2 linked regions of the Astyanax mexicanus genome follow. The protein of the gene in region 1 interacts with the protein of each later gene in a biochemical or structural test. Links are inferred from orthologs where the notes say so. Each region holds a gene or a part of one and is shown on either strand. Other genes may lie near its edges. The genes, in order: rufy1 and rab4a.

Region 1 (17,445 bases):
ACGTTATACATCTCATCCAAACCCTGCCGGGACTGCCGGTACGTCTCTAGCTCCACTTGGCTGTCCTGCAGAGTCACCTGGACAAATAGAAAAGACAAAACAGGTATAAAGACACAGAATACACTGCTAGATAAAGATAGGATTTTACTATAAACCTGAAACTATGACAGAAATCTGCATTTGTGCCCCACCACATGCCCAAAAATCTGCAGTATATGTTATTTGTTTCTTCATTTTTTGTATTACAAAAGGAGAATAATCAATCCACATTTACCGCTTTTTCAATGTGTAATAAGTAGTCACTTAGAATTTTTGGATACCAATGCAAATCTTTGAATTTAATACTGACAGACAAACAATTTTTCAAAACTTTTTCTTTTTTTTTGTTGTTGTTTTTTTTCCCCTAATTTTTCGCATTTTCTCCCAATTTATCAAACCCAATTAGGACTCCCCCATCACTAGTAATGCCCCAACACACCAGGAGGGTGAAGACTAACACATGCTTCCTCGCTTCTTTTCAAGCTGCTGCTGATGCAGCATTGCCGAGCAGCCAGCGTGCTCGGAGGAAAGCGCAGCGGCTCGGCTCGGATACATCAGCTCACAGACGCCCGTGCTGCAGACATCACCCTAGGGGTGATGTGGGGAGAGAGCGCCATCTACCCACCCAGAGGGAGCAGGGCCAATTTTGCTCCCTCTAAACGCCGGCAGCTTGATGGCAAAGCTGCATGAGGGGGGTTGGAACCTGCGACCTCCTGCTCATAGTGGCAGCGCTTTAGACTGCTGAACCACTCAGCGCCACACCTTTTTCTTAACAGTAACAAAAAAAATGACAAAAATTATTATCACACAACATATTTGTTTTAATAGCCGACATGAGTAATGTCATTATCATACTGTCACCATGAGAGGCAGAAGCAGATAAATGTGAACATTGTCTAAAATTGTAAAAAAATTGTACTCAATGTGCGGAAGGGCCTAAAGTCTGCAGAAAGGTATCCTTCCACACACAGAGTTGGTCAACCCTATTCTAATGTTTTTTCCCAACACTCTGTGACACAAGACTCATATTATGAATAGAACATGTGTTCATTAGCCTGGCATCATTCTGAACCCTACCTCTTCTTTTCTCTGGCTGGACTGGAGGATGGTGGCGTTCTCCTGCCGCAGCTGATCCTGCTCCTCCCGCAGGGCGTTGATCCTGTCTGTGGCTGCTGACAGCTGCAGAACACACACAGAGCTTCAGCACTGCTAACACATGTAGGTGGTAATGGCCATGAATGAAGGACAGCTGCCTGGGACATTTCAACGTTCCAACATTCAAAACCAGACCGAGGACAGAACTACCATGAAATACGAGATCGTCTGGCAAACATGTAAGTGTGTGAAGGACGCAGAAGATCTGACCTCCTCTATGAGTTTGCAGTTGGTTTTCTCCAGTGAGTCCATCTTGGCCTGTAGGTCGGTCACAGTGCAGCTCAGGTGGCGGTTCAGCTCCTCTATGTAGTGCTTCTGATCCAGAATCGCCGTCATTTTGGAATCACTGGCAACAAATATAATACAATAAACAGCTAAGCTCAGCTAAGATCAGGGAGCTAATTTTAGGTGCAAATAAATTCATTACAATATACAGTACTGGCATTTTATGAGGCTTTCTGTTATTATTATCTGTAATTACCAGGTTAATCATGCATATACGCTAAAAGATCTCTTAGAACTGACTCTATTGTCCAAAAAAAGGCTTTCAGATCTGGATTTTGGAGTATTGCTGTGAGTATTTGATTGTATTCAGTAACCATCAGTGGCTATCAGTCACAATGATCATCATTAACCCATATCTAACAATAGCTTTATGTTTACCTACTCCAAAAAGTCCTATTCTATTGGTATTGCTTTTCTACATCTGTATCAGCAATGGATGCAACTTAAAGTAACTGAACCCATTCATTAGAAGGGTGTACAATTAATAGGCTTTTTTTATCTTTAAATAATAACTAAAAAGTGCTTCAAACATGATTTAACAAGCTGCGTCTGTCCACTGTGATGAGCAGAGCTGCAGATTATTCTGAAATGACCTAATTAAATCTGGGTCAGCTACCAGAATGTCCCATTTATTAAAAGTATTGAATAAATCTCAAGATAGATTACATTGATAGTTATCTATATATAAGACTTAATATTAACTATAAATAGGGCATTACTGAAAATGTTCAATTGAGCAACTAACTCCAAGAGATGGGAAAACATGTTGACAGTGTTTTAAAAGAATGTAATTCTAAGAGATTTTTTCATTTTGGAGTATTGCATCAGGCAACAATAAATAATCTATCAGTCTATATTTGAAATATTTAAAATCCATGGTTTAAATTAATACACCTTATATTTGCACATTATACATACTACATATACTACACTACACAATATCTTATGCCATTTTAAAGCAAATAGTCACTGTGACGAAGAGAAAGAAAGAAAATTCTTAACATGTTGGGATTGGAGTGACGTGGCTCAGTGTACACTGACTCTCATATGTCATGGGACAAGATTTAGTATAGCACTTCTGCCACATCCCATGAAAACTAAAGAGAGCTGTACTGTCCACTGTGGGAGGTAATGCTTTCTATGACATACTGCATTACACAAGTGACACAGTAAACTTCAGAAATAGAATGTTACATTAATCTGGCATTAGTGTAATACTTGGTGTAACAGCACTACTCACTCCTGTGTGTTTTCAGTTGTCTGTGGATCCTTTAGGTACAGAGAGAAGTCGATGATGCCCACCTAAAACATCCAGATGATAACAAGATGAGCAAGTGCATGACAAATCATCAGCACAGGGAAATGCGCCACAGCCAGCATCAGTGTGAGACCCACCTGAGAATCCAGGTCTTCCCCCTTCACACACAGGTTGGCATCAATCACATTCAGACCAACCAGCATCCCAACGATGACTGACCCCTCCTCCTCCAACAGGAGAGCTCCTGGTTCATAAAACTCACTGAAAGAGAGAGAGAGAGAGAGAGGTGGATGGATATAAAATACCAGACCACATTAAAGATCTTACATCTTGGAGTAGTGCTTGTGTCTGATCATGCGATCATCTCACCTCAGGACATCTCGCCTGTTTATCAGAACTTTCATATAATCTGCCACTTTCTTCTGCATAAGGGCCAAATGCAGCCACGCCCGAGCTCGCCCCAGTCCTGTCCTGAGAGAGATAGAGAGATAGAGAGAGAAGAAAAGTTGGATTGATAATATTAGGTAAAAAAAAACTCACAATGCATGATATAACACTGTTATAGCAAAAAAAAAAAAAAAAAATAGGGAAACGTATCTCCACTCTAGCTACATGATTTCTATTATATATGATTTTGGCTTTTTGTTGTTTATTTTTACACTTATTTTATCTAAATAAAGATTTATATCTGCACCAATAGGATGTCAATACAGAACTTTTTAATATTATTGATTTCCATAATTACCTATTCTGTGCCAATCAAAGGTTTGGACACAACCCTTCTCATTTATTGTTTTTTCTTTATTTTTATTATTTTCTACATTGTAGATTAACACTGAAGACATTAAAACTATGAATGACTGCATTTGCAAGTATGAAGTAAACAAAAAAACTGTTAAACAAGGCAAAATATGTTTTATACTTAAGATTCTTCATAGTAGCAACGTTTGCTTTGATGCCACCTTCGCCCACTCTTGGCTGATTCTCTCAGTCAGCTTCATGATGTAGAACCTGGCATGGTTCTCCAGCTATCTTAAAGGAGTTCCAGAGGTGGTGATCACTTGTAAACTGCTTTTCCTTTACTCTGCGCTCCAACTCGTCCCAAACGACCTAGGTTGGGTTTGTATGTCAGATGTTTGTGAAGGCCTAGTGCCTTATTGCATGTGTGTTCTTCATAGTCTTTAATTATAATCTACAAATGCAGTAAATGATACAAATCAAGATTAAATATTGATGAGAATGCGTGTCTAAAGATTTGACTTGTACTGTATTTGTTTAAACGTGTAGCTAAACAAAGAGAAGTGGCTAGTGGTATTGCACCACTACTGAAGAATTTGTGTACATAAGAGATAGTAAAGATCTGCAGCTGTAAAGAAACTTACTTAAGGCCAGGCATGTCCCTCACACTGGTGGCGAGGTCAGCAGACTCAGGACACAGTTTCTCTACCAGTTCCAGAGGAGCCCAGATAGATTTATTTTGGCCAATGAAGGATTTCTTCACTAAACAGAGAAGCAGAACGGGATTAGTTTAACATGCAGCTCTGAAACAGCAAGCATGCTCAGATTAACCACATTCTTTCAATAGTTTGGAAGCCCTGCTTTACCTTTCAATCCATGTTTAAGGCAGTGTTCCAACACCACAAAGAACTGCTGCAGCGGTGGATAATCAGAGTCCAGGGTTCGACCCAGGCTGAGGGACGACTGGATCAGGACCTTTATGCTGAGCTTCATCATGCTTAAGAGATTGGATCTTTCCACCAATACAGGATCTTTTATAGCTGCAAAAACACAACACACTAACTATTCAATATATATCCAGTATACTAAACTCAGAATACAAAAAGGCAAGAAAGCTAAACAAACAGTTTAGACGTAGTGTAAACAAGATTCACATTTATGAAATGCATGTTCCTACAGTGAAAACTAAGCGGCTGGCCTAGAGGATTTTACCAAACAGCAGTGACTCTACAGCCGATACTTTTATCCACCCTCTACCCTAACATCAGGAGAGTGACTAACACCCCGCCAGTGGGACCACCACAAATACTGTCATCTCCCAAACAAACACAAACCCCCCAAAATAACCCCAACAAAAGAGTTATAGTTATATAGACTACAGTTATATAGACTACAGTTATACAGAATACATATAAACATATAGACTAATAGTTATATAGACTACATATAGACTAGGAATAGGTGATAATATTAACATATTGCTAGACTAGGGGGACAATACTATCAAAATGAGTCTATTGTTGGACAAAGGACATATTACCAAAGGAACACTGTTGAACTAGGGACTATGTTATTAACAGGAGAATACTGTTAGACTAGCAGCTATATTATTACCATCGCCATACTGCTGGACTAGGGGACTATATTATGACAAGACTACACTGATGGAATAGGTGACTATACTATTAACAGGAGTACATTTCTGGACTAGGGGACTATATTATTAACAGGAGTCTATAGTTGGACTATGGAACTATATTGTTATTAGCAGAATACTGTCGGACTAGGGACTGTAAAAGCTGGTCATCCAGGTTAAAACAGGCCACAGGCTGATAGGCTAGCTGGTTAAACAGTTTGTGACAAGCATAGGGTATACTGTATTTTATTTTTGTCAGGCTTGGCCATGTTGGTCTTGCTGTTAATGCCTGGTATTCTGTTCAACAAGCACAGTAAAAGCTTTACTACTGGTTATCTAACTAAATAACTAGTTAACTAGCTTGGTCATGTTGATCATGACTGTAGATCAGCTAAACTTTTAAACTCGAACCCAGTCATACCCACTGCGAAAGAGCTTAACCATTTTATCTAACCATACTGTTTTTATGCAACAGGGTAACAAAAGTAATGCACTCTTCTGTACTGTACTGTACTGTACTATATTGTACAATAGTGTACTGTAGTTTTTGGGGAAGTAAAAGTTACTCAGACAGCTGACTCACAGCTGACACTGTAGACAGCTGACTCTAAGGTAGATTCTGGTCTGTAACGTTACTGGTTAAAATGATCGGTACTGTGGTGTGTTCGGGGTTCTGTACCGGGTCTGTTGGTGTCCGGGTGGTCGGTGCTGGTGGGAGAAGCTGGACTCAGCTGTTCAGAAACAGAACCGGACCTCCTCCACCCGGACCCGTAACTGTTGACTCCGCTCAGCGTCTCCGTGGCTTTCCGGGCCAGAGACAGGATCGGAGCGGACCAGGACCCGTCCGCCGCTTTATCCCTCCGCTCCCCTTCGCCCTCCACCGCCGCGGATTCGGGCTCGGCCGGAGCCGGGTCCGGATCTGCCTCTTTAACCGCGCTGTTTACAACTGCACTGTCTGGATCTCCGTCAGCCATTTTCCGCATCACACCACGTGACACCAGGCCAGAGTAATCACCTGCAGACACTCCAGGAGTCACGAGGCCAGAGTAATCGATCGGACTTTTAGCGATTCTCTGTTTTTACCAGGGAAGAGAAATCGATTGATATTTCAGGTTTAAGGTGGTAACATATGTTTGAGAGATGTTATTTGAAGCATAATTATAATCTAATCTAAATCAAAATATTCATTTAAATATAAAACTAAAGTGTGTTATTTTGATTATGGCAAAACTGCACAGATGCTGTTTTACAAATCTACTTACTACCCTGTAATTTTGCTTTGTTGTGAAAGGCTATTTTTCCTTTTACCCACCAGTTTCTACTTTTGTGTCGAACCTATGTGTACCTGCGTACCCTGCGCCATAGCCCAACGCACTCCTCCCCAGAAATGTTGCTAACCATTCACCAGGTGATGTGGCAGCTGTGATTAGTCTGCCGAGCCCCTCGAGTTCCCGCCTTCACAGTTTAAATTGAGTCGTAGACACACAAATACAGAAGTATAAATACACAAAGCAGCAAAGTGCCTTCGCACATAGACAGACATGTATAAAATATTAAAAACTTATAGCTCTATTTAAAAAAGTGACGTGTACAAGTTGAAGTGTTTTTAAGCACCACACTTAAGTGGGAGTCTGAAAGTATTCAATATTCCTAATAGTTGTTTCTATAAATGCAATAAGGCACACTACAACATGTTTATTTTCTGGTGTATTTTCATACAAAAGGTGCACCAGATTATAAGGTGCATTATGCAACTGTAACAGAGTTAAAAAGAACTGCATAAAATTATATGAATTCTCACTAAATTATTATTATATTAACCTTTAGTAAACAAAAGGGATTCTTGTTATATTTTTTTTTACTCCTGTTGGAGGTTGGTTAATGTGTTTTAACAGTAAAAAGGTGGTTATTTTTCTGTGCTTTTATTTTGAACGACAAATCCCTGCACCAGCAAGGCAACTGCATGTTTTTTTTTATTAATTATCCCTCTGCGCCCCCCGTAGCTCCAGAGGAACTTGCAAGCAGCGCAGGAGATATACATGCAGTTGCAGTCACTAAATAATCGGCTGGGATTATTTGTTTGTTTGTATGTGCAGATGTGCAGAGTAATAAAGACCAGAGGAGAGAAAGAGACAGCCTGCCTCCCCGCGTCTTTCTAACTTCCCACCAAAGGGTCTAACAAGTGCTATAGGGCAGCAGGAGAGCCGCCACACAACACTAGTAAGACACAGGCGTGTCACCGTGTTTTTTCTTCTAATTCAGCAGGTCTTGCCGCTGGGTGGCGAGACCTGTAAAGCTAAGCTAAGTTAATGTTAAGTAAACAAAACTGTAATTAAAACAAAAAAAAATATTTTACCGTCAAGTGATGGATTTTAAGCTGATGGATTTATAGTAAACTTCGATTTCCAGGTAAGATTTTCAGCATTACACTGACGAACCCTAAGTCTTTCAGAAAGCCACGGCGATATTACCTAGTTTGCCCCATGTAGCTTGTTTAACACGGAAAACAAGCAGACTACAGGCCGATAATACTCACCTCTGAACAAAAAAAGAGCTAGCGCTTAGGGCGGTCAGCAAGTAATGCTAATGCTGCTCCAGCAGTGCTAGCTAGGGTTAGCAGCAGGCTACAAGCCAATAATACTCACCTCTGAACGGCAAAAGAGCAAGCGTTTAACGGCTAATGTTAATACTGCTCCAGTCTCAGTGCTGGAGAAACTTCACTGAAACTCCTGTGTAATGCTGTACTTCTGTGGAGTGGCTTTACTGCTCCTTACAACTTACAATTTTTGGGAAAATAAAGGATTTGAATTCCACCTTATAGTGTGAAAAATACTCAGTTAGTTAGAGGGTGTCACACTAATTAGATGAGAGAAATTTTCATAAACAGAGTTTTGAACACAACACAGAAAAAAAAATTGTTTTGAGGAGTTCCATTGAACTTATATCCACCACCTCCACAGATGAGGAGCTGTCTGTACGTGACGGGGCTAAATTTACCACATTCAACCAAACACCCATAAATCTGCTGCATTTTATAGGGGATAGACGTTTGGAAATCACTGACATTTACATATGCAGCATTAGTCTAGCATAGCAAAACTTAGCACTGAAACATGAACACTGTATTTTTTTGCAATTATTCTTAAGTCTTACAAGGTAAAATTGCTTTCTGCTTAGTGTGAAGTGTGATTAGCTAGCCCAAGAGATTGTAACCAGGGATCAGGGGGCCCCCTGCTGGCCAAAATGTTGGCAAAAATAAATGAATAAATAAATAATAAGGAAAGGAAGTCCAACACAGAAAGTCTGACAAAGCTCACCATTTTTTGCAGCAGCAGGTTGGGGCCCCAGAACTTCCAAATCCACCTCTGATTGTAACCCCTTGACTTTGGTAAGCTTTTAGCCTAACAACTTCCCTGGCTTCCTCAAAGTCTGTAAAAGGCTTTCTCTAGCAGGTTTGATTTATATAATTTTGATGGTGTACGACTATTTTGATTTTTTTTTAATTGCTCCCTTTTACAGCTCTGTTTTTTATGTTCTTATGTTTCATGTTTATTTATTTCACCAAAGTTACAGGGTGCAGTTAGCAGCAGGCCCAAACCAAAGTACAAACGACAGAGACACCATTCTACTTTCCACAAGTGAATAGAACAGCACAATAATTTTGGAGCTATTATTTAAAAATAGAAATGCTATAAATGCTGCTTTTAAGAATCTGCTGTCAACATCATGGTGGCATATTCCACAGAACAACGTCAGAGATCTTTGTTTTTTAGGCAGCAACATGGTGGCCTTCAGAGTTTGTTGGGATAATGTACCAAACCTCACCTTTACTCAGCCAAACAGAGTCACTATTGCTGGAGAATGGGAATTCACTGTTCAAACATTTCTTTATTTAGCTAGATACACAAAGATTCTTGTATTCATTCTGGATGTTCAATAACTATCAAGCCTGATTGGTTTACGACAGAATATACAGTAATAATAGATCTATGAGAAAGGGTGGAAAGTCATGATAAATTTCACTAGATGGCAGTATTCCTTCATTTGCAGCTCACTACCATACTTTTGATTATCCAGCATCCTGACCTTAGTAAGTTAACAGAATGTCTTGCCTGGACTGTAGAGACAGTTGCTCCAACAAGTTATATTAAATACTCTTGTTTTCAGAAGAAACGATGATTGCTCATATGTCTCAATACTTCTGTCCATGAAGTGTATTTTTTATTACATACACTTTCACACACAGCTTGTTTTACATTTATAGGAAAGTATTGCCAATAAAATTGGACAGTGACACATGAGCCTGAAGTGACTGTAGCAGGGTATAAAGCCCCCAGTATTGAACTGTAAAACAATGAAATTGGGATGATGATGGTCTCTGGAATGATGATGGTCTCCATCCAGTACTTCGTAAAATGAGTTGAAGTGGTTGACGTTTTGCATGCTCTTGATTGTATCACCTTTATAATGGGATGCTCTGGATCATGATGGATAAAAGTCAACTTGTAAATACCAAGCATTGGCAGAAGTTATAAAACCTGTGTTCTCTGGAATGATGGAGCTCCATCCAATAATTTTGTGGATGAGTATAAAGACTTTATGTATCTACCACTGATGTCAGAAGAACTTTTGTTTCAGTAGGTGTTTACAGACTTTTGGACATATTGAAGACTTTTTGGTTGGTCTAACTGACACCACTAGTAAACAAAACAAAATAGTAGTAAACAAAATAAATGTAATTTGTGACTGCATAGGCAGCCCTTGAATAAAAGGTGGTGATAATATGAATAATATGGCTTCATATGTATTGATGAAGGCATGTTCTAGTCTGCACCCTCCTAGAGTAGTAATTGAAGTAATTGCTAGTAATAGGTAGGACTAATAGGATATAATTGGATAATTTATATAATAGTGTTTTTTGAATCTTTCAAAATGAAACAAATAACTGAAGAACACCATTTAGCAGAATTTAAAGAATGAAAATACAGCAGTCTTCTCTTGCCAACGATACGGTTCTATTTCTCACTTTACGCATGCACACACGTGCACAATAAAACAGCACTATACTGTTATTGTCTGATGTTTTTTTAAGTTAGAACGCTAAAGTCTGATCATCCTTAACTGGGAGAGAGAGGCTACCTGTGGTGCCATTGGTCTGTCATTAAATGAGGAAAATGAAGTAAATTAAATTTAAATGCCCAGAGTAGATTGAGTAAGTGCCCTGAAAAATCCATAATGAGTGTTGAGTAGCTTCCCGCTTTTAGCGTTTTTAAATTAGACCAGATAACAGAGAATGTAGCTGTGGGAGGCATGTTTCATAAAATAATGTAAAAATGTGCTTCCAACAGTTTTTGCAAAATAGTTTGTGTGTCTAATATGAATCTAAATGATTCTATTTCTTCTGATATGATAGACGACACCCTGTCAGGCAGATCCAGTTATCCTTGGATTTATCTATTTAACTAAATAGCTACAAGATTTGGATACTTCCTCCACCACCGGCAGACACACACAGAGAGGGCGGGGCTCTGGCAGTGTGTGGGCGGGGCTCTGACCGTCTGTGGGTCTGGCTGTATTTAAATGCTTGCGCTTCACCAGCGCAGAGTTTCTGTCGCGCCTCTCCGTCTGTCAGTCTGTCTGCCTGCCTGTCTGGCTGTCTGTCTGCTCCGAACTGGTTGGAAAAAATTCCGGATTAAAGTCAGGACTGCCTGTGTGGAATATCTTCCTACGTAAAGAAGTTTTAACTCGATTTAAAGGATTTTCTCTCATTTGTTCTTCAATAAGTTGGACATTATGAAGTTTCCTGCAGTGGTTCTACTGGCGCAGGTTTTGGGTGAGTATACAGAAGTACTTCACACTCCATTTATGCGTTAATTCAGTTTATAATTCGCAGTATTTCAGCGTGTGTGAACGGACATATTACTCCTGAAAAGTAGATATTGTTCATTTCACTCCTCTACACTTCCAGTCAGGTCACTACAGCAGTACATTTTTACTGCTAAAACTGGCCCCCTTCTTTTCTTAGAGGGCAACAATGTGGTTCAGCTGGTCAGCAGCTTATTTAAGAATATTCTTTATGTAACATGATCTGTTTATTTTTGACCCGTGTGTTCATGCATTAGATCAGTGTCTGTGCATGCAAGCTTTTTTAAATATCTGGCCCAGTGCCTTCTAGGGCTCCACACACTCTATTTAAGCTAACAGAATAAAAAGAAATCATTTTTAAGCTAACTACAAAGACATTTAACAAACAATTAAATATTAATAATAAACAAAACTAAACAAAACTGGCTTTTGGCATTTGTATTTGGCACATTGCCTGTTGCATAAGTCACCATAAAGCCCTACTTGCCTTTGCAATAGCCATGGCGATTGCATTTAGAAGCTTTATAAACTTATATCGTACCTTTAACTGATATAAAGCACAATAAAACTGGAAATGTATTTATATGAACAGACAAATATTATATAATTTAACTGAATCACTTTAAATTAGACCTATATTCTATGTTGAGTAATTTAAAATACTAAACTAAGTTTATTCTCTCTGAATGAGCTACTGTGTTAAATGTTTAGCATTTTATTTAATATACAATATTTTACTTTTCTACAAAATATCAACTTTCTAACTTTATAAATGGAAGTCAATGTTAAAAAAACACAAAAAAATATTCCAAGTAATTTTGGAGTATTTTTATTGGTCCATTCATCATGATATTTTTGCACACGGCTGTCAAATTCATAATAGATGAATAAAAAGAAAAAACGTAAAGAAGGAGATACAAAATTTTCGAGTGTGAGTGCGATGGAATGAACAATCTACAAATATATATATATAAAAGATTTATTCTGTTTATATAACATTTATACTTTATGTGTCAGTATCAGCAAAAGAAAAAAACAAATATTGCATAGCAGCCCACAATTTCCACATTGCTGCATTCCAACATAACCAAATTTTTTAATGGTGCTGAACAAACTGGTTTGTGATGATTGCGTAGCCCATAAGTCAACAAAGCTTTCACTCTACATGAACTCTATTCATACTCTATAAGTTCTGATGTCATGATTTCCTTTTCCTGTCTCTTGTCCCCTCAGTGGCCTTCACGCTGGTTAGCAGCGCATCCATCGACAGGTATGAGAGTGAGAAACCTGCACAGGTCACGGTGATTCACCTGTTACGAACGTCTGAGGCGCAGGACGAGAAAGGACCTGTTGAAGAGAACAGGCACGTGGATTCCTCACTGGAGGAAGGAGAGGAGTATTACTATGATGACGACATAGACGAGTACGAGCTGTCGGGAGATGATGAGATGCCCAGAGGTAATTTAAACAATAAAAAAAATGGATATTGATCATAAATTAGTCATTAGAGAGGATTAGTTGTCAGTTTTGCAGAATACCAGCTTATGTCAACTGTACATTCTTTTTTCCTCCTGCAGTTGCATTTTCAAGCAAACCTAAAGACCCAAGCACAGTCCTGACTGAGGAGAAGAAAAAGAAAAGCCAGAAAAAGGGAAAAGGCAAGAAAAGGAATCCGTGCCTGAAGAAATATAAGGACTTCTGCATCCATGGAACATGCCAGTACTTAAGGAAGATTGGTCCTTCATGCATGTGAGTACTTCTTAGAAGAGAATATACTAAACAAAAATGACAATTTTTACTGTACACTGTTAAAAGTATAAGTATGTTGTGAGTTCTTCTGTTTGAAACTTTGGAGGAACCCATTAAGGTGCTTGATGAACTGTCTGTTTTATAGATTAGTTCATCAAAAACTCTACCAAACTGTTAAGAGGAAGTTAACAGGTTACCATAAACTTTTGGAGGTTATTTGATTTAAAACTGTGGAGCAACCCATTGAGATGCTTTTAGGGACCTTCAAGAAAAAAGTTCTAAGCACCTTAGGGGTTCTTCTTCTACATTTTCAAATTGAGAAACTAAACAAATTTCTTTTGAGGATCTTGTAACTTAAAATCGGATTTTGGACCTTTTTGTATTGGTCAGGTTACCTGTTAACATAGAAGTTCTTGCTATCAACTATGATTCTTCTCATTTCATATGATGATCAGAATTCTTCAATTCTTCTAAAGCCTGACCATAGAACCTGTCCCCTCTCTGTGCAGATGTAACCCAGGTTACTCAGGGGAGAGGTGTCACTCCTTCTCGCTGCCTGTATGGACCCCTGAGGAAGGGTACAACCGCACAACAGCGCTCGCCGTGGTGGCCGTGGTGCTGTCCTCACTGTGTCTCACCATCATTGGGCTCCTTTTGGCTCTCAGGTCAGTTCTTCAGCACTTACATCTACTTTCTACGGTAGAACGGGCCACTACAATGCCTCTTGTTGAAGTTGGATGAGTAGTACCTGAATAATAACTGAGTAATAGCAATCCCTGTGATTCAAAGTGGTTAATATGACTTTGTTTTATATCTCCACAGATTTCACAAGAGAGGCACGTATGATGTAGAGAATGAGGAAAAGATTAAACTCGAGGTATCCCCGCACCACTAAGGAGCAGATCATGGTAAGCAAACACACCAACCACACATCCACTACACACTAAGGGTGTATGGAAATATTAATAGATATAGATGTATCACGATATTTTGTGATGCAATACTATATCGTTTTTTTTAAAGCACATTATAAATTTTTAATTAGAAGTTTACATATACTGTAAATAGACCTGTCACTATAATGCCACATATAATGACAATAACAAAATATCAATACCACAATATATATTGCATCTTTTTGTTTGTGTTAAATAGTTTTATTTGTTAAATTCTGTGAAACAAACACCAATAAATCAATAATTTTTGGTGTTTACTTATTAAGGGTATTTTATCTTCCTCAATAATTGAATATGACAGAATCACAGTATTGCGATACTGGCAATGGGCAATACACACAGAGGTCAGCAAAAATGATTGGGGCATAACTGAAGTCTTGTCCTATATCGTCAGTAAGGTGGGAGATAACGTAATAATCACAGATTTCATAAATATGATAATATTATTAAGAGTTTTCTTACAGTTTACAGTTTTTTTACGTTATTTAAACCATTGCAATGTATCACCTTGCTTACAGTGTCGCAATATGTTTTCGGAATAATATATTCCATATATAACATTCTTGCCAATACACAGCTGTAACACACACTCTCTAGGCAATGCCACGGCCCATATGTGTGCATCGGTACGCTTAGTGCTATGTTCTTATTTGACCTCTTGTATTCTCTGTGTCTGCTTTATTTCAGGAGGAACATGCAGAAGTTTCTACCTCAGCAGAAGGGCTCGATCTGAAGCAGATGGCCTGAGTGGAAAAGAAGAGCTACACTTCTCCAGAGTGCCCTGCGTACACATGCACTCCACTGGCCAGTTGGGGTACAGAGTCTGACCGTTTTGAAGAGTCTACGAGACTGAACTGTGATCGGCCCAGTGGATTTCTGTAACGCACTGAAAAAAACAAAAAGGAACTGGTCATTTTGGAGTGCAGCGGTGACGTCAGCGGTGTGATTGAGTTTGCACTGTTGTCTACGTCGGATATTTATTGTGATATTTTTATATGACGCGTTTTACTGTGTAAATACTTTCGTTTAATTTATTTATTTATATTATGAGTATTTATTTCGATTTGTACCAAATTTGTCCAAACCTGGCTAAGTGTTGAAAAAGGAGGTATTAAAGTAGGAGACATGAAATACAACCCAAACAATCTAAGCATTTATGCAGTCAGTGTTAAATAAGCCCACAATGGTATTGTAAACATACATAGGAATATTCACACATGAATAAGGACTGTATGTTTTAAACAAGCACTTGGCCAGTTATGCTTTCACAATTGATTTATGTATTGTGAAATAAAATTGTACTGCTTGAAACAAAATGACAAATCTTGAAATGTGTGTTTATTCCTCTTTTAGTTTAGGGGGGTATTTTAGTAAAGACAAATGTATCATCCCTGTCACCCAAAGATCTTTAATCTTAATTTTGTTGTTTTTAGCTTTTTGATAGAGTGTAAATCATGCAGTTTTCTTTACCCTGTATCCAAATTTCATTGACCAAAAATGTTGCATTGACTTTTTATGTACAGTTTGGTAGTTGCTATTTCAGAGAAGTTTCTTTTGGGTAACAACAATAATGTAGAACCTTTCTCCTCTTAATTAATTGACTGGCTTACCAGCAGTTTTTTATACCTCTAAGAGATGGCTCAGCTGTGTGATAGTGACAGTGACATTGATATTAGTCCAAAGGACACTTTTTATGTAGAGTGTAGTAGATTGGTGAAGACTTAATGTACTGGACAGGAATTAAGTCTAATCATACTCCTTTTAATGGAAAATACCCACTCAAGATGCTATGTAGCCCAAAACTAGGCTTAATCCCATTGTTATATCTTTCGTATGTACTGACTCTGTCAATAAGTTCCATATTGGTTATTATATATATATATATTGTCACTGTTCTGCAAAATATTTTTCACTTTTTGCCATAATGTAAATCTGCAGCTGTTTTTCACTTTGTGTCCCAATTTCATGATAAAAGGAGCAATATAAATGCCCCTTTTGGCTTTAATTTGAATCTTTTTAGTTTGGCTTCTCCTATACAGTTTCAGTTTTGGAAATAGATTTTTGCATGACAGAGATGATGTTGTGTGTTATTAAACCAACAAGTTAAATCTGTTCATGTTGCAGCCCAACATAGTTGCATGACTCACTTCCGCATGTAGGCAGCTGAGTCTGGTTTCCCATTTTAGTTATATTTTAGAAAAGCAGAGCCGGAATGATAACACATCGTCGTCTTCCCAGCTTTGAGACAAGAAAAACATTAGTCTATCCTGTCTCCTGCCTTCATCACCCCTCCAACTGCACCTGTATCCTGACTGTCTGATGTCCACTTCCACAAATGAGTGTTAGCACGGAACATGCCCACGCAGACCACTTCAAATGACCACACTTACAGCCCAATTAGTGGATCCAGATGGTCGTGTGGAAAGCAGTTCACTTAGCCTCCTAAAAAACAACCACAAAGTCTGTAAAGATGCTACAGTGTTAGCCTGGATAAGGTGAAAATCTTAGTTAGACTTGAAACTTTTTGTTATTATGCCTGAATGCCTTAATTTTATTGATTTTCTTTTTTATCTTTTTGGTAAAGCATTACTTTGCACAATAAATCTACTTGGAATTTTATAGTAAGGTGAATAAAACAGATTTGTATTTAACCTTATTTTTAATATTAGTTCTAATAAAGATTTGAAATAATCCTAGAAAAAAAGACAGAGAAGAAAAATGCTGTAGAGTTTAGCACACAACCAGCACAGAGTTAGTAGCTCAGAAAATGATGGATGAGCTACAAGTTTATCCAAGGTTGCCTGAGGGGAATCTACACACCGATAGTGAGTCAAATGTCTCTGTTTGATTGTATGTGTGGCAACAAATGCTGAGTAGTTGAGTAAATATTGGAAACAGATTTAATTCAAACAAATGGTGGATTTACGATCTACACCATTTTAGTGACCCAATTGTGCAGTTGTGTTCATATAAATCACATTAAATGAATCAGCGAATTAAGTTTTACTGTCTTCGTTACGACTATCATGCAAAAATGAATATGCTGGCCATAACTCCAGCCGCACACTGGTCAAGCTTCCTTTAACAACGTCGCCACTTCCTCCTCTGTAACCTCACGCAGTGACGAAAGCCTATGAGGCCACGATGTGGGATGAAAGGTAAGATGAAAGCCCTGAGAGCCTGTTGAGGCCACCGTTAAAGGAGCTGACTACTTAAGCTGTGGAACAATGGCATTCATACTGTGGCTCCACACACGACAGAGATCATTTCCACTCTAGTCTAACCCTTCGTTTAGCAGTAACAGTAAGCCACCGAGTGCTGCTAGATCTGCAAGGATGAGGAATGCCGTGCCTCAAGAATGTGTCTTGGGGCCACGTGTGTTGCTTGAGGGCTCCAAAATTCAGTGTGTTCAAATATTTTGATCAGCGTTCAGACTCTCAGGCTTTTAGACTTTTCCAGTCTTTATTGTTGAAATAATGTATTATTAAAGGATCATTTAAAGGTACATTCTGTAGGAACTGAGAGCGAACATGTGAAATGGCTACAGCAGTCCAATTTCAAAACACCGCAAAGAGTAGTCTGTCCCGCCCACCCCTCCCTAGCCACAAAACTACCTCGGCTTGCCAAATTCATCAGGCTGAATCTACACAAAGTTTAGACTAGTAGGAGAGGTAGAGAACGAGAGTACGAGCGAGAGGAGAGGAGATATGAAGAAATTCGAAACTGTTCTATCACCCGTATTTAACGCCATATTGACTGTGTTT
Region 2 (16,561 bases), on another chromosome or scaffold:
GGACAAGGGAACAAGCCTAAGCTCACCACCTGTGATATCTGATCCCTTAGAGAGTATGACAACATTCACATCATTCAGTAAAATAAAACCACATGGGAAAGGGATAACCTTTGTCAAACACTACAATATGAAGTTACACTCACAAGTGCCACTTAAAACTTGACTGCCACCTGTCTGTTTTTTGTTTGTATTTTTCACACTATTTTATATTGGAATTAAGTTTACATTTGCTAATAGAAACTAATAAATCAATACAGAAACATGTTAATAGTTTATAATATAGCAATTAGTAATTTTATATATGCAAATGTGTGCATTTAACCATTTCTGAAACCCTCCTTAAGGAAGCACTGTATGACTGAACCTACACATGGTTTGGCAAATTAATGTAACAAATGGCTGAGGGCATCAAGGAGACATCTGAAGCCAAATCTGTGTTCTTCTCACAAGCTCAAAATATATCAACAGGAAATTCTAACTGGTTTAATGTATGTTTATATATTACATATTGTTTAACAATGGTCCCAGATATTGGAGAATTGATTTAAGGATTTGCTTGTATTCCACAACAAGATTGTAAATCAGGTCAGAATGTTGAATGATCAGCACCACATCTCATCACCAACGCCCCAATTCTTTCCAAAAGTACTGGATGGAGCAGTATTATTCTACAGTATTCTATCGGCAATACTTCTCCAAAAGGGCTAGACATGCCAACATGTGTGGTGCATTAAATCGGAGTCAGCAATGAGTGGAACTGTAGCTTAAGTGTTTCCTGCGGGTAGCCATGTACCGTAGACTAGTAAAAGACTATAATTTCCTTTAAATGGAAATTTACTATTCAAAATCCTGTGTAGTCTAAGATGAAACTGTTACTTTTACAGTACATTATTCATTTAATTCATTTAATTATTCAATTAATTTTAAAGAGCACAGGACATAAAACGTAAATCAGGCATAACCTTTTTATATAGTTTTTTAATCATTCCATGATTTGGTCCTTTACATATCCTTTATATTTATAATCTCCTATTATTAAACTAAATCAGTATACATCTGTTTATATTTAGAATTGCTATTTTTAGGTAGAAGAGGCTGTGTCCCTTAAAGCATTTGGACAGTTCTACCAAGAAACTACATCTAAACTATGTTAGAAGTACATTCTGCACTGTTAAAATGTATTGTAATTTCCTATGCTTATTAAGAAATTACATTTTTAGTGTTTTAAAGTGGCTCCTTACTCCTTAATGCACTATATAAGAAGAGACTACTTAGTTTACTAGCACTTGTATTGCTTAAACAGGAGTAAATTCAGACACAATGTTTGACTGTTACATCATATACACTAGCATAAGCCTCCCATTATTGGCTACTAACAAATAGATGGGAATATATGTGAAATTCTCTGTGTCCAGTTACTATCAAACTCTTGTATGAGAAAAATGCCACTGGGTCTAGGTTATTCCACTCTCTGTTGCTTAGTAACAAGACTTACAATGCACATTGGTTCCGAATTCAACTCATATAGTGAGTTCCAATGTTTACTATTGGTTACTAATGCATTGTGGGAGTTTATAGTGAATAAAGTCATGCTTAAATTCCACTTTACAATTTGAACGTGAAAATAGATGTATTTTGGTCATAGCCTCTGTGTAATATTTTATAGTCTACAGTACTCTACTTTTAAAAGGTTATACCTGCCATTTTTAAACATAACTCTAAATTATACCTAGTGCTGGAAGATCAAATTACTGAGAAAATTGTATACACTTTTACATCTGTCCTGTCAGAGACAATCTAATAGAAGTATAGTAGAAAGGCTTGTGCATATGCCAAAAAGCCTATAAACAATTCTAATGTGGAAGTGATTTTTTTTTTGCACTTTGCCCTAACTGAAATATAAGGCAATATATAAGGCTGTAATGCTGCAGGGAGCAGCTTGCTATTCCCTAAAAACAAAATAAATGTTTTAATTAAAGTTTTATTGTACTTGTATGGTTTTGACTCCCTTGAGTCTTTTTTAGTTTTTATTGTAATTTTTATTTTTCAGTTTTTATTGTAATTGTAAATCATGCATATAATTTACTAATTTAAGGATTTGGAGATAATAATTTGTTTTAAGATATCACCCTGCTGTAATTAAGCCAAGCAAACAAAAGCAATTTTGATTCACCAAGGAGTTACCCCTAATATGTATTCTCTCACTAAATAAAAAATCTGTAATGAATCAAAAGTAAAGTCCCCTCTCACCTGGCTGTTCAGCTCTAACGTCCGGATGCTAACAGCCACACTCCTGCACGCTCTCAGCCTGAGCTCGTCTTGGGGAGCGTAGCTGCCGCAGTGCTGCATCACCGTACTGAATTCCTGAACCCATCCTCTCCGGATCCAGCTCACCTGAGCACAAGTCACAAAAACTTCACAACATGCTACACCAGCAGTACACTTTCCTTATTTTGTAACAGCTTCAGCTACAGCAGTACCTGATTCTATTTTGTTGAGGATTTTACGAGCACACTGAACGAAGGCCTCCTCCACATTCTCCCCTGTTAGAGCACTGGTCTCTAGAAACATGAGTTCTGAAAGACACACAGAATTAAAAATATATAGTAATTTAAGTAAGACTGTAAAATACAATATATATATATATATATTAGCCTAAATGACTAGAACCTAAGCATATACAGATATATAAGGACAAGACTACACAACTACATCTATCAATAGAATCAATCACTGTGAAAAGATGTATATACTAATACTGTATAGTTTGTATACAAATCATTACATCACATAATGAAGCAACCTTATTTTAAGTTACAAAACTTAAGTCAATGTTAAAAGATTTCACTCAGAGTCACTTCCAGATTGACATTATGTTGATGTCAATATTGATTTTTCATATGCCACTGGGTCTGTATTTAACTGAAAGTGGATAAAGAGTATGTTCTCGCAGTATTTCTCTCAGTAAATCTCTGTCTAATTACAAGCCTATAGTGGCCTCTTGTGGTACAACCACAGCAGAGACACTCATTAGATAAAGAGTATTACAGTGACACAAACACAATGACCTTAAATGTAACACCGTCATATTTGTTCAGATGGGTGACAAATAAAATAATATAATTTTAATAAAGATACTTTTATACATGCACACTATGATACATTTAAGCAATTGACATCCTATCTTATCATCATCCTAAATAACTTTGATTCACTATTGGGGCACAGGTTTCAGGAGCTTCAGTCAAAAAGTCAACTGAAAGTTAACTGATGTTTCAGTAGAAATAGAGAATCTCTTTAGCTCTGCTAAAGATTGATCTGATAGAGAATATCTGCACTGCACTTCTATTTATGGGAACGATATCTATAAAATTACAATGAACAAGTTGAATCTTCAGTGAGAGAAAGTGAAGGTTGTGCTTAATGTATAAGATAATTGCAGACAAGCAGAAGCAGCTGCTGTCAGTTAAATTACATTATCGTATTTTGTGAAATACTCTTTACATCATGATAACAATTAATTGCTGCATATATTGGTCCAAAGTTGATGTAAGTTAAGTTATATTTATATTTATGTTGTATAAAATCGGTGTGCTGAAGAAGGGAAAAGGCGGGCATAAATCTTACTGGTTTCTACAATATCAGGAAAACCAGGATTAACTGAGAATCCCATGTTTGTTACTAAAGAGGGTAAAATACTTATAAATAAGCAAATGCTTTAATAATCTTAGCAAGTCAAATTGGAGAGGTGAGTTCACGTATTGATTAGGGGTGTGCCATATCGTATCGTACGTGATAATATCGGCAGAAATTTTGAATATTGTGAACGATATTATACCCTGAAATATCGTGCCATATCACCCACCACTAATTATCACATCAAAGTACTACTTTTTTTTTTTTTTTTAACTACTTTTTAAAAATTCACACTGTTCTGATTTCCCATTATATATCTACTAGACACAGATTATCTGTCCAGTATCTTTTTTTTTACTTTAATCCTGCATATATGGAGATATTTTGAGTGCATTACTAGTATTATGACATTCTGGATCATTGACTTCTGTTACAAATCTGATACAATTATTATTTTTAAACATCTCAATTAGCCATATCATATTGCATGCAATAATACAATTCAAAATAATTTTTCTAATTCAGTGTTTTGTCATATCGCTAAAAGTATCGTTATCGTAAAAATGCCATGAAATATTGTGATATTATTTTAGAGCCATATCGCCCACCCCTAGTATTGATAGGACACAATCAAAATTATACATTCCACACCTATGAGTAAGAAGGTATATTGTGAAAAATATGTTCTGTGGCTTACAGAATCATACTGGATTGCAATGCAATTAAACCATTTAGGGATTTTTTGGATTTTGGATTGACTTGTTGGACAGTGGATGAGGAAAATTGTGTTAGAAGAACTGTGTTCCAGTACTGATCCAGAGGCTTGTTAAATTTAACCCAAGGCACAGTTAAGCTCTTCTGGCAACTCAACACCTTACTTACACATTTAATGTTTTTTTATTTAATTAAGTAGGAGTACTCACCGTTCTCTTGAGCAAAGCGAGAGGCCTCCAGAAAAGTGACTTCACGATCAGCATCCAGGTCCTTCTTATTCCCACACAGTATTATTACAATATTCTGGCTCGCCAACATCCTGGCATCTGTCAGCCAGTTGGTCAGAGCATTGTACGTCTCCCGACTGAGGAAAAAAATACAGATTAAGAGAAGGTGGGGGGAAAAATGGGGAAGAAAATACAACCCGACTCACAAAAATACAAGATTTCACACTGTTTCAGTACCTGGTAATATCATAGACGAGGAGAGCTCCGGCTGCACCTCTATAATAGCTTCTTGTTACAGATCTAAGGGGGGAAAAATATAAACTCTGTGCTTAATCTCCCAAAATACTGATAGTTTTCACAAGTCAAAACAATGAAAGGTGAAAAACATGAACTGGAACAATACTGCAGAATCACCTCATACTCAAAGCTTAGGTCAGCATAATAGATTTTAAAAACTTATTTCAGTCCTGAGCAACAATGATTCATCACTGTTTTGTTTATATTATGCCAAAGGTCAAGTGTATGGTAGAACAAGTAGTTCTGTGTAATGCTGCACACTGCTGAGAGGCCATATGTGCTAAATGCTGAGCACACAGCTTGTTTTTCACTCAAATCTAGGTGGGCAATATTACATAATTAGATTGTGTAGAGACACATCAGTGCTTTACACATTTACCAACTGTATAATCCTATTACAAATGTATTCGATTGTATTATATTTCTGCAAAACAGTTATAGTTTTTATCATATTGCTCAACCCCATTCAAATGTCTAAAATTAACTTCTCAGTTTTGAAAAGAAGTCATGAGCGCACCTGAATCGTTCCTGTCCCGCTGTGTCCCAGATTTGGAGTTTGACAAATTTGTTAACCACATTAATGATCTTCGAGCCGAACTCTACACCAATTGTATGGTTTGAGTCGTCTTTGACTGCAAGAACAAGAAAAAGTATGTTATTTTTTGAAGGGATGCATAGTTTAAAAATACATCTCAATAATATTATATTGTTATTGGTAACATACATACATTTCTTTTCTATGAACTGGTGAAGGAGGCAGGATTTTCCAGTTCCTGCATTCCCAATGACAAGGAACTTGAACAGGAAGTCTGAAGAGAAAATAAGAATGGTAACATTTATTCAGAGCAGTTTTCACAATTTCACTTATTTCATAATTAGTATAAGCATGTGTTTTTTTTTCTTCACCTTACATGCAGATTTTACGATGAAACACGATGTAAACATAACCTCATTATATTTAAGTTAAGACAAATGTAAAATATGTAAATCACTGCAGTATAAAATAGTTATTTACAGGATTCTGACAGAAACAAATGTCTATCTTCTGAGATTCCCTCTGTCAGCTTCTATATGTAAATAAGTACAATCTCAATTATCCCACTTTGACAATTGCATTAAAATAATAATTTGATTAGTCAAATGTATCCTCTATGGTATGAAATATGTTTTAGGAGAGAATTTTTTGTAAGATTGGGAGCATCTGTGGCTTTGGCTACAATTATAAATAAACATTTTGATAACAAACTGATCATTTGAATAAATTGTTTAAAAGCAAGGAAGCCCCCAAACCTGCATAACACTGCCCAAAGACAAATAATGAAAAAAAAAACAACAACACTGTTTTAGTAAGTTTACAACAGAAGATACCTTACTTATTTACATATATACAGCTCTGGAAAAAAAAATAAGAGACCACTTAATGATGATATGTTTTATGATTTTACCAAACTGAAAACCTCTGGAATATAATCAAGAGGAAGATGGATGATCACAGCCATCAAATCAAGCAGAACTGCATAACGTTATCCAAAAGCAGTGTAGGACTGATGGAGAACATGCCAAGATGCATGAAAACTGTGATTAAAAACCAAGGTTATGCCACCAAATTTTAATTTCTGAACTCTAAAAGATTTATGAATATTAACGTTATGAATTATAATCTTTGCATTATTTGAGGTTTGAAAGCTCTGCATTTTGTTATTTCAGCCATTTCTCATTTTCTGCAAATAAATGCTCTAAATGACAATTTTTTTAGGTTTGGGAAACTTAAAATGCTGTAGTTTATAGAATAAATAGAATAAAACAACAATGTTAATTTTACTTAAACATATTAACACATTAAACCAACCATGTAGCTTAAGTTTTCTGTCTGTAATGCACACAAACTAAGACACTATTATCCTAATAAAAAAAGTATACAAATAAATCCAATTAACTTTTTTTTTATTCATAAAAATAAATCAAAAAGTGTTCTAAATCACAAATAATTAGTAATAATGAGCTTGTGTTACTTTGCCTCAATTGTTCTGCAGTGCTGACATGCCCTAATGTCTGAGTTGCTGATTTATTCCCAGTGCAGTGGGCGGGGCTAAACTACTGTTTCATTGGCTGGTTTATGTTATTTTCTAATGCACAACAGGTTTCAAATAGTGCACTGTGAAAAAAACCATTTGACAAAAAAACTACATGATGTCCACTGTAACTGACACAGGGTCTGAAAGGGTTAATTCCTTCCAGCCCTACCACAAACATTAAAACCAAATCTAGCTAAAGACTAACCCAAGAAAAACACAGAAATAGACCTGCATTAAATAGCTAATCCTAGTTTGAATCAGACACTAGCTAGTAAGTTAAACTATCAGTGTATTGTTTATTAACAGGCAGCTAACATTACAGCTACAGCTATAGCTACAGTAGTTTAAGGTTTGGAACAACATCCAGTAACGTTAAATTGACCTAGCAGTTACCATAACTAGCTAACTTATATATCTAACGCTAGCTAACATAGCTAGCTAGGTTAGTTATCAGTTAGCTAGCTAGATAGGTAGCTAATAAATAACGCTAGCAGTTTTGGATAAACTAAGCTAACTAATGATCCAGGCTCGGTTCTACTGCATAGTAACACCAGGCTATCTAATACACACTCCTCTTACAGCACAGCAGCGGTATTCAGGGCGTTCCTGCCCTCTCCTCACGCCCTCCTGCCCCTGTTCACGGTCTGTATTAAATTCCTCCTCTCTCCAGCTAGTAAACAGCCCGGTGTTTATCCGCGGCTGCTCCCCGGCCCTGCCTGCCTGCTACCGATACATCCCCGCGCTTAGCCTGCGATCCTTTACACCACAACAGCAGCAGCAGCGCGGTGGATGAGAGCTGAACACCTGCTATATAAACACAGCCCCGCGGACACAGCCGTGACAGCGGAATAACACACAACCCAGCGCTCCGTACCATATGTCTCCGACATGGCAGACGCTGTGGGAGTCAGGTCTGATATTTATTAGCCTCTGTTGAATCGGAGAGGATATTAAATAACGGGAAATCCCTCAGAGGGATCCGCGCATCCTGTCGGACTTCCCAGGCTGTGAACTTCCTGTAGAGATTTTCACAGTAAAAGCCTGAGAGGCTGCAGATCCGCCGCAGCGGGAGGACCTCACCAGCTAATCCCGGAGCCCTGGAATTAAATTAAATTAAATTACAGCAAAAAAAAAAAAAAAAAGATTCCGTCTTTTTACGGAGCCCGTAAGGTGACATCATGTTAAAAAAGGAATTAATGCGTGGCCACGACTTATTAAGGTGTGGGAATTAGATCTTAATGCATGGGAACGAGATAATTAATGCATTGGAACGAGATAATTAAGTCATAGCCAGATAATAGTAAAACATGCTTTTCTGTAAATTAAAGTAGAACTCTGGTGTAAATTGTGTAGTAAAACATGATAAAAAGGATTAACCTTTGTTGAATAGACCACCTCCCCTCTCCCACAGCTTTCTAAGATACAGTACTTTAAAATATTAATTTAAAAAGATGGCGGTGCCCAGAGATTAGGTTATGCTTCGAGTTGTAAACAGTGTTTTTTAATAAGCTTCTTGTGCACTTTTAAAGTTTCTAAATGTTTTGTTTTAAATGTCAGGGCTCTTCAGATTATTTATGTGCAGGGGCAAAATATGCCCCATATCATCCATTCTAAAGCATGTTTGGACTAACTGCAAACAATTTCTGGATCTCAGACAGCTGCAACTGTTGAATTGGTTTCTTTTTATTTTCATCTTAGAATAAATTATGGTGATTTTTTGGAGTATCTTGCGGTGAGACATGGTATAATTCTAAATAGAAGACACTTAATTCTTATACCAAAAGCTGACGGGCTCAGGCTTAAAACAGTATGCAGACATGTTTACCTTACTTAGTCAGGCATATTGCGCACAACCCCTGACAGCTGCTTGCTTTGTTAGCTGTGAAAACCTTAACAGCCTTAATGGCTACAATTTAATTAACACATTCCCACATCTTAATATGTCATGACCACGCCTTAATTATCTCATTCCCACAAATTATTTTCTCATTCCCACACATTATTAAGTTGTGGCCACAATTATTATTATTTATTTATTTTTTTACAAGATGTCACCGTAGATGCTCTGTGCAGTTTAGATCATGGGCATTGTTTCAATTAAATCTAAGGGGGACGCGTCCCCTTCATATTTTTATAAGTATTCACTTGAACCCCAAACACATTTAACATAAAATATTATGTAGCCCTGCTAAATTTCTCTGTTAAGTTTTAGATGAAATTCTAAAAAACTTTATTTGTCCTCAGACACATTAATTCACAAATTGAATTCTGTTGCAATATCTTTCGTAATTGGAGCAAGGTGATTACTATTCATAAAATAGGTTGGTTAAAGTTACATTATAGTAATGGATGATTCAGCTAACAATGGATTGGCTATAGATAACATCTTATGTGTTGAAAAACAAAACAGCTTAAAACCCTGTTATCCATAGTACAAAAAATAAGGAGTGTATTTGTGTTTATTTCTGATGATTGCTGTTGTATTGAAATTTAATATCAAATAATTATATAATTATAATAACAAATAATATTTATGCTTTTTGGTCTATCTGTTTTCTTTCTGGTTTATTTAGGCTTGAACATTCTCAAACATTTCTAATAGGCAGAAGTAGGGTAAATACTGTGACCACATGGGGGTGGTAGTTCATCATGCATATTTCACACATTATTTACACTAATCCTGCAAACAGGATTATATCCTAATGATGATTAAAAACAAAAATGCATTGACAAAAACAGTAAAGACTATAAATAAGGTAGTATATATGTTTAATATATTTATCTTGGATCATACGATTGTATTAGACAATTGAAAGGTGACTATTGAAAAATCTTACAATGCAAATGCATTTAATGCTTGACAAAAGCAATTTAAAGAAACGAGAGAAGATTTCCTTCAACTTTTTTGTACAGGTTCTGAGATATTCTAAGATGTTGTTTAAGATTTATTAATATATTTTTCATATATTTTACATATTTGTCATATGAATTAAAACAGGGAACTATAAGGACTATTCCAAAAGCTTCAATTCTTTACTTCATGCAGTCCATGGTGGATTTTGAGGTTTATTTTGGATAATTACCCTGCTGTAGAAACAGTCTCTTTTCATCTTCAGCTATTTCACAGATGGTTTGACATTTGCATCCAGGATTTTCTGGCATTTTGTTGAATACATTATTCTCTTCACCTGAGCAATATTGCCAGCTCCATTGGCAGCAAAACAGCGCCATGCTGTGAAGTATGATAGATCCACTGCCATGCTTCACAGTTGGCAATGTGTTCTTTTCATAAAATAGGAGTGCATTTTTCTTTGTTATTTTGATTCAAGTTTGGTTTCAGGGCAGATTGTGGCCAAATAGTTATTTTGACTTTATCAGTCCACAAAACTTGTTTTCCAAAACTCATAAAGTAAGATTTTCTTTCTGTTGTTAGAAGTTTGATGAAGATGTATGATGTTTATGTTGTGCACACTGGAACAACACACCTCATCTGTATATACACAAATACTCAGAACTATATCTTTGTAATAAAACTTCAAACCATTGAAACCACAGGATTTATACACTTTGTTATTTTCCTCCCGCCTCTCTCCGAGGGAGATGAGCATATGACTTTCGCCACCAGATATTTAGACAGTTGCTTAGAGGATCTCATGTTTGAAAAATGTGAGAGTAGAATGTTGGAAGATGCTAAGATGCTAAGATACCCAAACTGTTAAACTGTTAGAAGAAGAAATGGACACATGACATGACACAAGACTGGCTCTTTCCACCAAGCTTCAGAGTTGAAAGGCAACATTATTAGTTATCTACCACACTGCAAACATCGCCACAGTGCCGTTAGCATTGCTACCATGCAGGAAGTTAACCTTGCTCAGCATCATTACTGTGGTAATAGCATTGCGGTCGCAGTGTTGCTACCCTGGCCCTTCTGATTTAAAAATTAGCAAATACACAATTACCTTTTTAAGAGCGAGACAGAGTCACATGATATGATACATGAAACATTATTGATGTCATATTTTATGCCACAGAACTTTTGTTAAAAAGAGCTTCCCTTTGTTGAGATACCAATGATGATCCTATGCAGCCAGTGGTGGTCTGGCAAAACTAGACTTGTCTGTTTTTGTGTGTGTTTTTAAAGCACATTATATTAACCACACTACCCGCCATTTATCCACCACTTACAGTTATGCAACTGTATCATGGAGCACATAAAATAAAGGATGCTGAAGAGTTTTAATGAAACCAAGATTCTTTTCCTCTTAGGATTTGCTAGAGATACATGAACGGTGACGAAGTGATTGATTGTAGATTACAGATGTAAATTGCCTGCTGTAAATTTCAAGCAGTGTTGCTTCGACTTGTGGATGTTATTAATTGCATGTGTAATGAAGAGCATATGAGAAAAGCCAGAGTAAACCACTAACAATCCATGTGCGTGCATTGCATAATCCTCTCATACACTCACTTTTCCTGCAGGAACACACACTGGTAATTTAGGAATTGAAAATTGAAAAAAGTCCCAGAGCTAAGCGCCACAAATTAAAACCAACCAAGCATTTGAAGTCATTGTAGAATCCCTGAAATGAAGTAAACACCCACTCAAGAAGACCTCTGATAGTATTAGTCACCACATGGCTTTTCAGATGGTTATGTATCATCATTGTATTGTTTTTGTGTATATATAGCTTCTGAGAATGTATAGAAATGTTTCTCCTTTCTTCTAACACTTCCTGTTTTTCTTAGGTCCTTCCTGTCTGGATCTGAGATACAGTGTATGTTAAAGAAAACTGCTGATGGTTCACAGAGCTTTAACATGCTGTCAAAGGTAAGATTTCCTTCTGGTGTCTCTGTCAGACAGATTATGTTATTACAAGCAACAGTTGAACAGTGCAGGTATAAATGTTCATGTCCTTAAATTGGGATATATTGGGATTTGGGTTGCCTATCTGGTCAGCATTAGAGCAGGTCTATAAGGTTTTCTTAGCCTTTCTAAGTAAGCACACGTTGTTTAATCACAAGGTGGGGTGCTTAAAGTTCTTCTTGCCGGGTATAATGTTGAAAACTCTCAGTAGATGGTTTTATATAGCACCAAAAAAGTGTTACACTATATTGTTACAAGAAAATAACCCTTTTGAGTACTAGACAGAACCATTTTGCCTAAAAAGTGGGGTAGCACATTATTATTTCATGTAAACCAAATGAACCCATACACACTCTGCCACAACTTGCTTTAATTTTGGTTTAATTTTAATGGCATTTACTAGAGGCAGATCATTTATTTTACTTCAGGCTTCAAGGCAAAAAAGGGATTTATTAATATCATAACATGTTGAATCACTTGCATTAGGAGAAAACTGGTAAAAAAAAAAGCCTGTGTTTACAACAAGAAAATGTAATTTTTGTCCAATATCATGCAGTGCTGGTGCAAATAATCATTGTTATTACCTTGTATCTTGTAGCATTTCTAACATAATGTAGAATATAGAGAATCAACTGCCAAAGTAACACAATTTATAAAGTAAAAAGAGATAATATTGAGATTGTGTATGACAGTAACTATAAACACATGTATTTAACATATCGGTTTTCTTTCTGTTTGCTTCAGTTACATCCACATTTAATCAAACACTGGAGCTAAAAAAAGAATAGTTTTTGAGCATCAAATTTCTCACTATTGACTGTGTAATTTATTGGTAATAAAATGGAATTTGCCAACTAATTTCTGCCTTTTATATTAGCTTTTACTTATAACAGCAACGTCCCATCTTCTGCTACTGTAAGCAAGTTATATAGTATGAACTCGGGGGGCTTCAGCCTTCACTGGAGTGATTCGCTATCACTGGAGTACAATGGTAACCAGGAAGAAGGGAAGTTAACTGTCCTTGAAATCTAAAAATGTCATCACACTGTCTGAGTCAGGATGTTATTCTGAAAAATGGGAGTTCTTTTTTTATTTTAACTCAATCTAGTGACCAGAAGAACTTGTGTCTGTGCCAGGTTGAGATTGTAGAGCACGCAACAGGACAGAAAAACATGTCAAATGCTGTCGTGAGAAGAACTGAAATGCTATCACCAAACACATTCTTCCCAAACATATTCTTCCTATTTGTGGTGATATGTCTGCAAAGACAAATGGTGATACCCCTACATAAAAAAAATGCTTTTGAGAGGCATTTTTGCTGTTTTACAAAAAGAGAAAATGTGGATATGTCACATATCAAATATATTTTGCATCTAAACGTGAATGCGAAGTGTTTTTCCAACCCGAATATACACATTCTGTGCAATATATCATTATTCCTTGTACACTATGTAATTGATGTGTGATAAAAAAAAAGTACAGAAGTATTACCGTCTGTAATTGTAGAAATACAATGTACTTCTCTTTATGCTCAGAATAGCTGAAATAGATAGATAATGTGTGTAGAAAAAAGGGTTGTAATGTTATGCTTGATTTGTATATATACATTAGATTCAGAGATCTACATTATTTGCTTAAGTTAAGTTACTCAAGAGTAATTTAACTGGTTAAGCAACTTTAAGAATTGTAAGAAGACTATGTTTTGGAACTGCTGATTTGGATGCAGTGACTAAGCAGTGTACTGAATTTTAATGAAAGGCTTAATTTTATGAGAGTTCTTCTGGCTGGTTGTTTGGATCTAAAATAGGTCATAAAATCACTTCTTATGCAATTAATTGCATCGACAGGAGAATAACACTCAACATTTCCATGGCTTCGTTGGGCTCTTACCGACATATGGTTTGTTAGTTTAAAGCGTGAGGAGGCCTTGAGAGGCTGTGCATTAACAGTGCAGGCTGTGACTGGGCTGGTCTGCTAAAGGCAGGATCACTGAAATAGTGTTTCTCTCCTTTCCAAACACGGCAGGCCTCTTTAGGCCTGTTTATCCTATAGACGGTTTCCTCTGCTGGCTCAGACTGAGTGGAAACCCAGCTCACAGACCCACTGACAAACATCAGTGGCAAACACCCTGAATACTGTCCTTATACTGAGGCCAGCACAGGCCAGAGCTGAGCGTTGGGAGAGAGTCCAGAAGGGGCGGGGCAGTGTACAGTGTGTAAAAAAGCTCTGGACTGAGTAAGCATACAGCATGCACAGTGTGTAGCCTAATGTTTGAGGCCACAGAAGCTAAGGCTGCATTGTTTTTGTATGCTATAAGTATTTTATACTATTGGAAGGCAACTAATTTCAGCATTATATTTGAGAAATGATCAAATATTGAAATTATTTACACTTAGCAGTTACCAGACAGTAGCGACAGTTACTAGAGCAGAATATACACATTTCAAAAGAAACAATAAATGAGTAAGTGTCTGTGGAAGATTGGCCTTAAAATAACAAGCTTACCTTATAATAATCATACTAGAGCTTACCTTACAATAATCATGCTTGCTAAAGCCTTAGCTTAGATAATTAAAACACATATTACACAAATATATCTATGTAAGCTATACTCTATATTCTCGTCATCTTCTCGTAAACATTAATACTTAGTTACTATTCCACACGTAGACACATCATATACTTGCTTAAAAGAATCTCTCATCTCAGCAGCACTGACCCAAGGGTCAACTGTAGAAAACATGCTTCCTCTTTTTAATGGTAAAAACATCTTGCGGTCCCAGAGCGTGGCAGACTGCAGGGTTCCTCTTTTCAGCTAGATTGAAACTAATGAATAAAACACAGACTACAGGGTTCCTCTTTATTCACTAGTTTAGGAATAAAGTACATTTTGTAACCTTACATTAAAAGATTACTCTGAAAAGTTATACATACAACTTCAAGCTTTGTTTAAGATATACTAACTAACTAATCTTACGGTAGATATAACGATACCATTATAAAACGGAGAGTATGAACTAAAACTTACTGCAGATACACAGTGAGACAATGTGAATGTTAATTAACCATGGCCCGCCACAAATAGGGGAAGTTCATTGAGCAGGGGAATTAATAACCCATGGGGCCTGCCAAAAAGGGGAACTGAATCTTCCCTTCTTCATTGAGCAGGGGAATCAATAACCCATAATAGAACCTCGTTTAACCAAAGGCCCGCCACTTAGGGGAATTGAAACTTCCCGAGCAGTGTTTTTGGCAACTCACGATTCCCCAGAAAGCCTACTGGGCAAAGGTCAAACAGAAGTTCCGAGAAGGTCTAAATAAAACGAGTTCTGAGAAAGACTGAATAAAACTAAAAATGGACTAATAATTAGAAAAACAGAAGTATTACTCATTCATGCCAAGTAACTCAAGATACGTCACAGGAGGGTATATATATTGGAGTCAGATCAGCACGAGGCAGAAGAACTGGGGGCGACTTACTAGCTTAGGTTAGGATGCTTTGCCTGTATTTGTTCTTCCCAGATATCTGAAATAAATCATACTTGTTCACTCTCAATCTCCGTGTCGACTGAATTCCTGGATCAACGAACATTCAACAGAGAAGCTAAAGACAGCACTTTTCTACAATTTGGTGACCTTCCGACGTGCGATCCAGGGTTTCGGCCGGCGAGGACACAGCTGACAGATTTCTTCACTCATTTGGGCCCATCCTACACAGGTGAGCAGATTGCCTTTTTATTAAAAAATCTGCATATTGGATATTTCAAACAGAATGAGTGATGGGATCCAGTAAGCTTAATCCTGGTAAATTGGATTGAACAACTAAACTTTTTTATTATTATTTTCTCTTCTATTTTATGTTTAAGAAACCGGTATAAAGGATAAAAGGATAAAAGGATAAAAGGATAAAGGATAAGGAAAACAGTGCTAATGAGACCGGGTGCTGGCGTACCCAAATCTGCCCATATTGGGTTAGATGAAAGGCTAGGACGTGGGGTTCCTTGAAAGTGGTCAATTCTAAATAAAATAAACGGACTGGGAGCTGGCGTACCCCCCCCACCCCTGATCAAGGTGGGATAATTGCCGGGACAGACGGGGTCATCCTGAGGCTTGGTCCACCTTAAACCCAGACGGTTATACAAACTGCTGGGAGATTTTAAAACTTTTTTATTTTCTTTATTTTAAGTTTTTAGTTTAAAGAACGAGCACTGAAATACTCTGAGGTAGTGTTTTCTGCTTAGGTGCAGGAAAGAAGGAAAAGAGTATGTAGTTTAAATAAAAATAAGAAAAACAAAATAAAAATACATATGCTATTGGTATTGTACAACTAAGGTAAAGCAATTGCTAATTGTTGATTTAATTGTTGTATGTGATTTGTGCGCGCGGGGGGTTAAATAACATAATAATAAAATATATACATATATAAAATAAATAGGATAGTTGGAGTATACTTAACAATTCTACAGAACAATGGGTGTAATTTACTTGTTTAATTGAAAATGACTGAACACTGGGTATGGGTGTTAGACGGTCATGACATTATCCGGCCTGAGATAAGAGAAAATGGTTTGATGTTAAACCCACCTTTCTCGACCATTCATTTTCTGGGGGATGACAGTAGTGACAGTACTGACTGCAGCAGCGATAGTGATGGTGACTGAATAGGCACAGTAAAAGGGTGTACGAGTGTCTGTTTCAGGGATTAAAAGTGTACCAGTGAGTGTGAAAGTGTATGGCAGCGAATT

The links.
Region 2: the proteins of rufy1 (region 1) and rab4a form a complex in vitro, tested with the Homo sapiens proteins (2 studies listed by BioGRID). The link is inferred for Astyanax mexicanus from reciprocal best matches to the Homo sapiens genes RUFY1 and RAB4A.

Annotation. Positions count from the first base shown.
Region 1 is NC_064417.1:28,101,156-28,118,600, reverse strand, and holds the start of rufy1 (RUN and FYVE domain-containing protein 1), read right to left. Parts: upstream 6,177-17,445; 5' UTR 6,095-6,176; coding exon 5,791-6,094; intron 4,516-5,790; coding exon 4,342-4,515; intron 4,238-4,341; coding exon 4,120-4,237; intron 3,209-4,119; coding exon 3,107-3,208; intron 2,999-3,106; coding exon 2,875-2,998; intron 2,782-2,874; coding exon 2,720-2,781; intron 1,541-2,719; coding exon 1,405-1,540; intron 1,219-1,404; coding exon 1,117-1,218; intron 78-1,116; coding exon 1-77. Other genes in the region: hbegfa (heparin-binding EGF-like growth factor a), read left to right, coding at 10,905-10,944, 12,210-12,434, 12,554-12,725, 13,235-13,390, 13,548-13,620. UniProt on the Homo sapiens protein: Activating adapter involved in cargo sorting from early/recycling endosomes. Regulates retrieval of proteins from endosomes to the trans-Golgi network through interaction with the dynein-dynactin complex.
Region 2 is NC_064414.1:38,725,831-38,742,391, reverse strand, and holds the start of rab4a (ras-related protein Rab-4A), read right to left. Parts: upstream 7,973-16,561; 5' UTR 7,840-7,972; coding exon 7,824-7,839; intron 5,684-7,823; coding exon 5,603-5,683; intron 5,507-5,602; coding exon 5,392-5,506; intron 4,878-5,391; coding exon 4,815-4,877; intron 4,715-4,814; coding exon 4,560-4,714; intron 2,577-4,559; coding exon 2,481-2,576; intron 2,395-2,480; coding exon 2,279-2,394; 3' UTR 2,251-2,278; intron 1-2,250. UniProt on the Homo sapiens protein: The small GTPases Rab are key regulators of intracellular membrane trafficking, from the formation of transport vesicles to their fusion with membranes.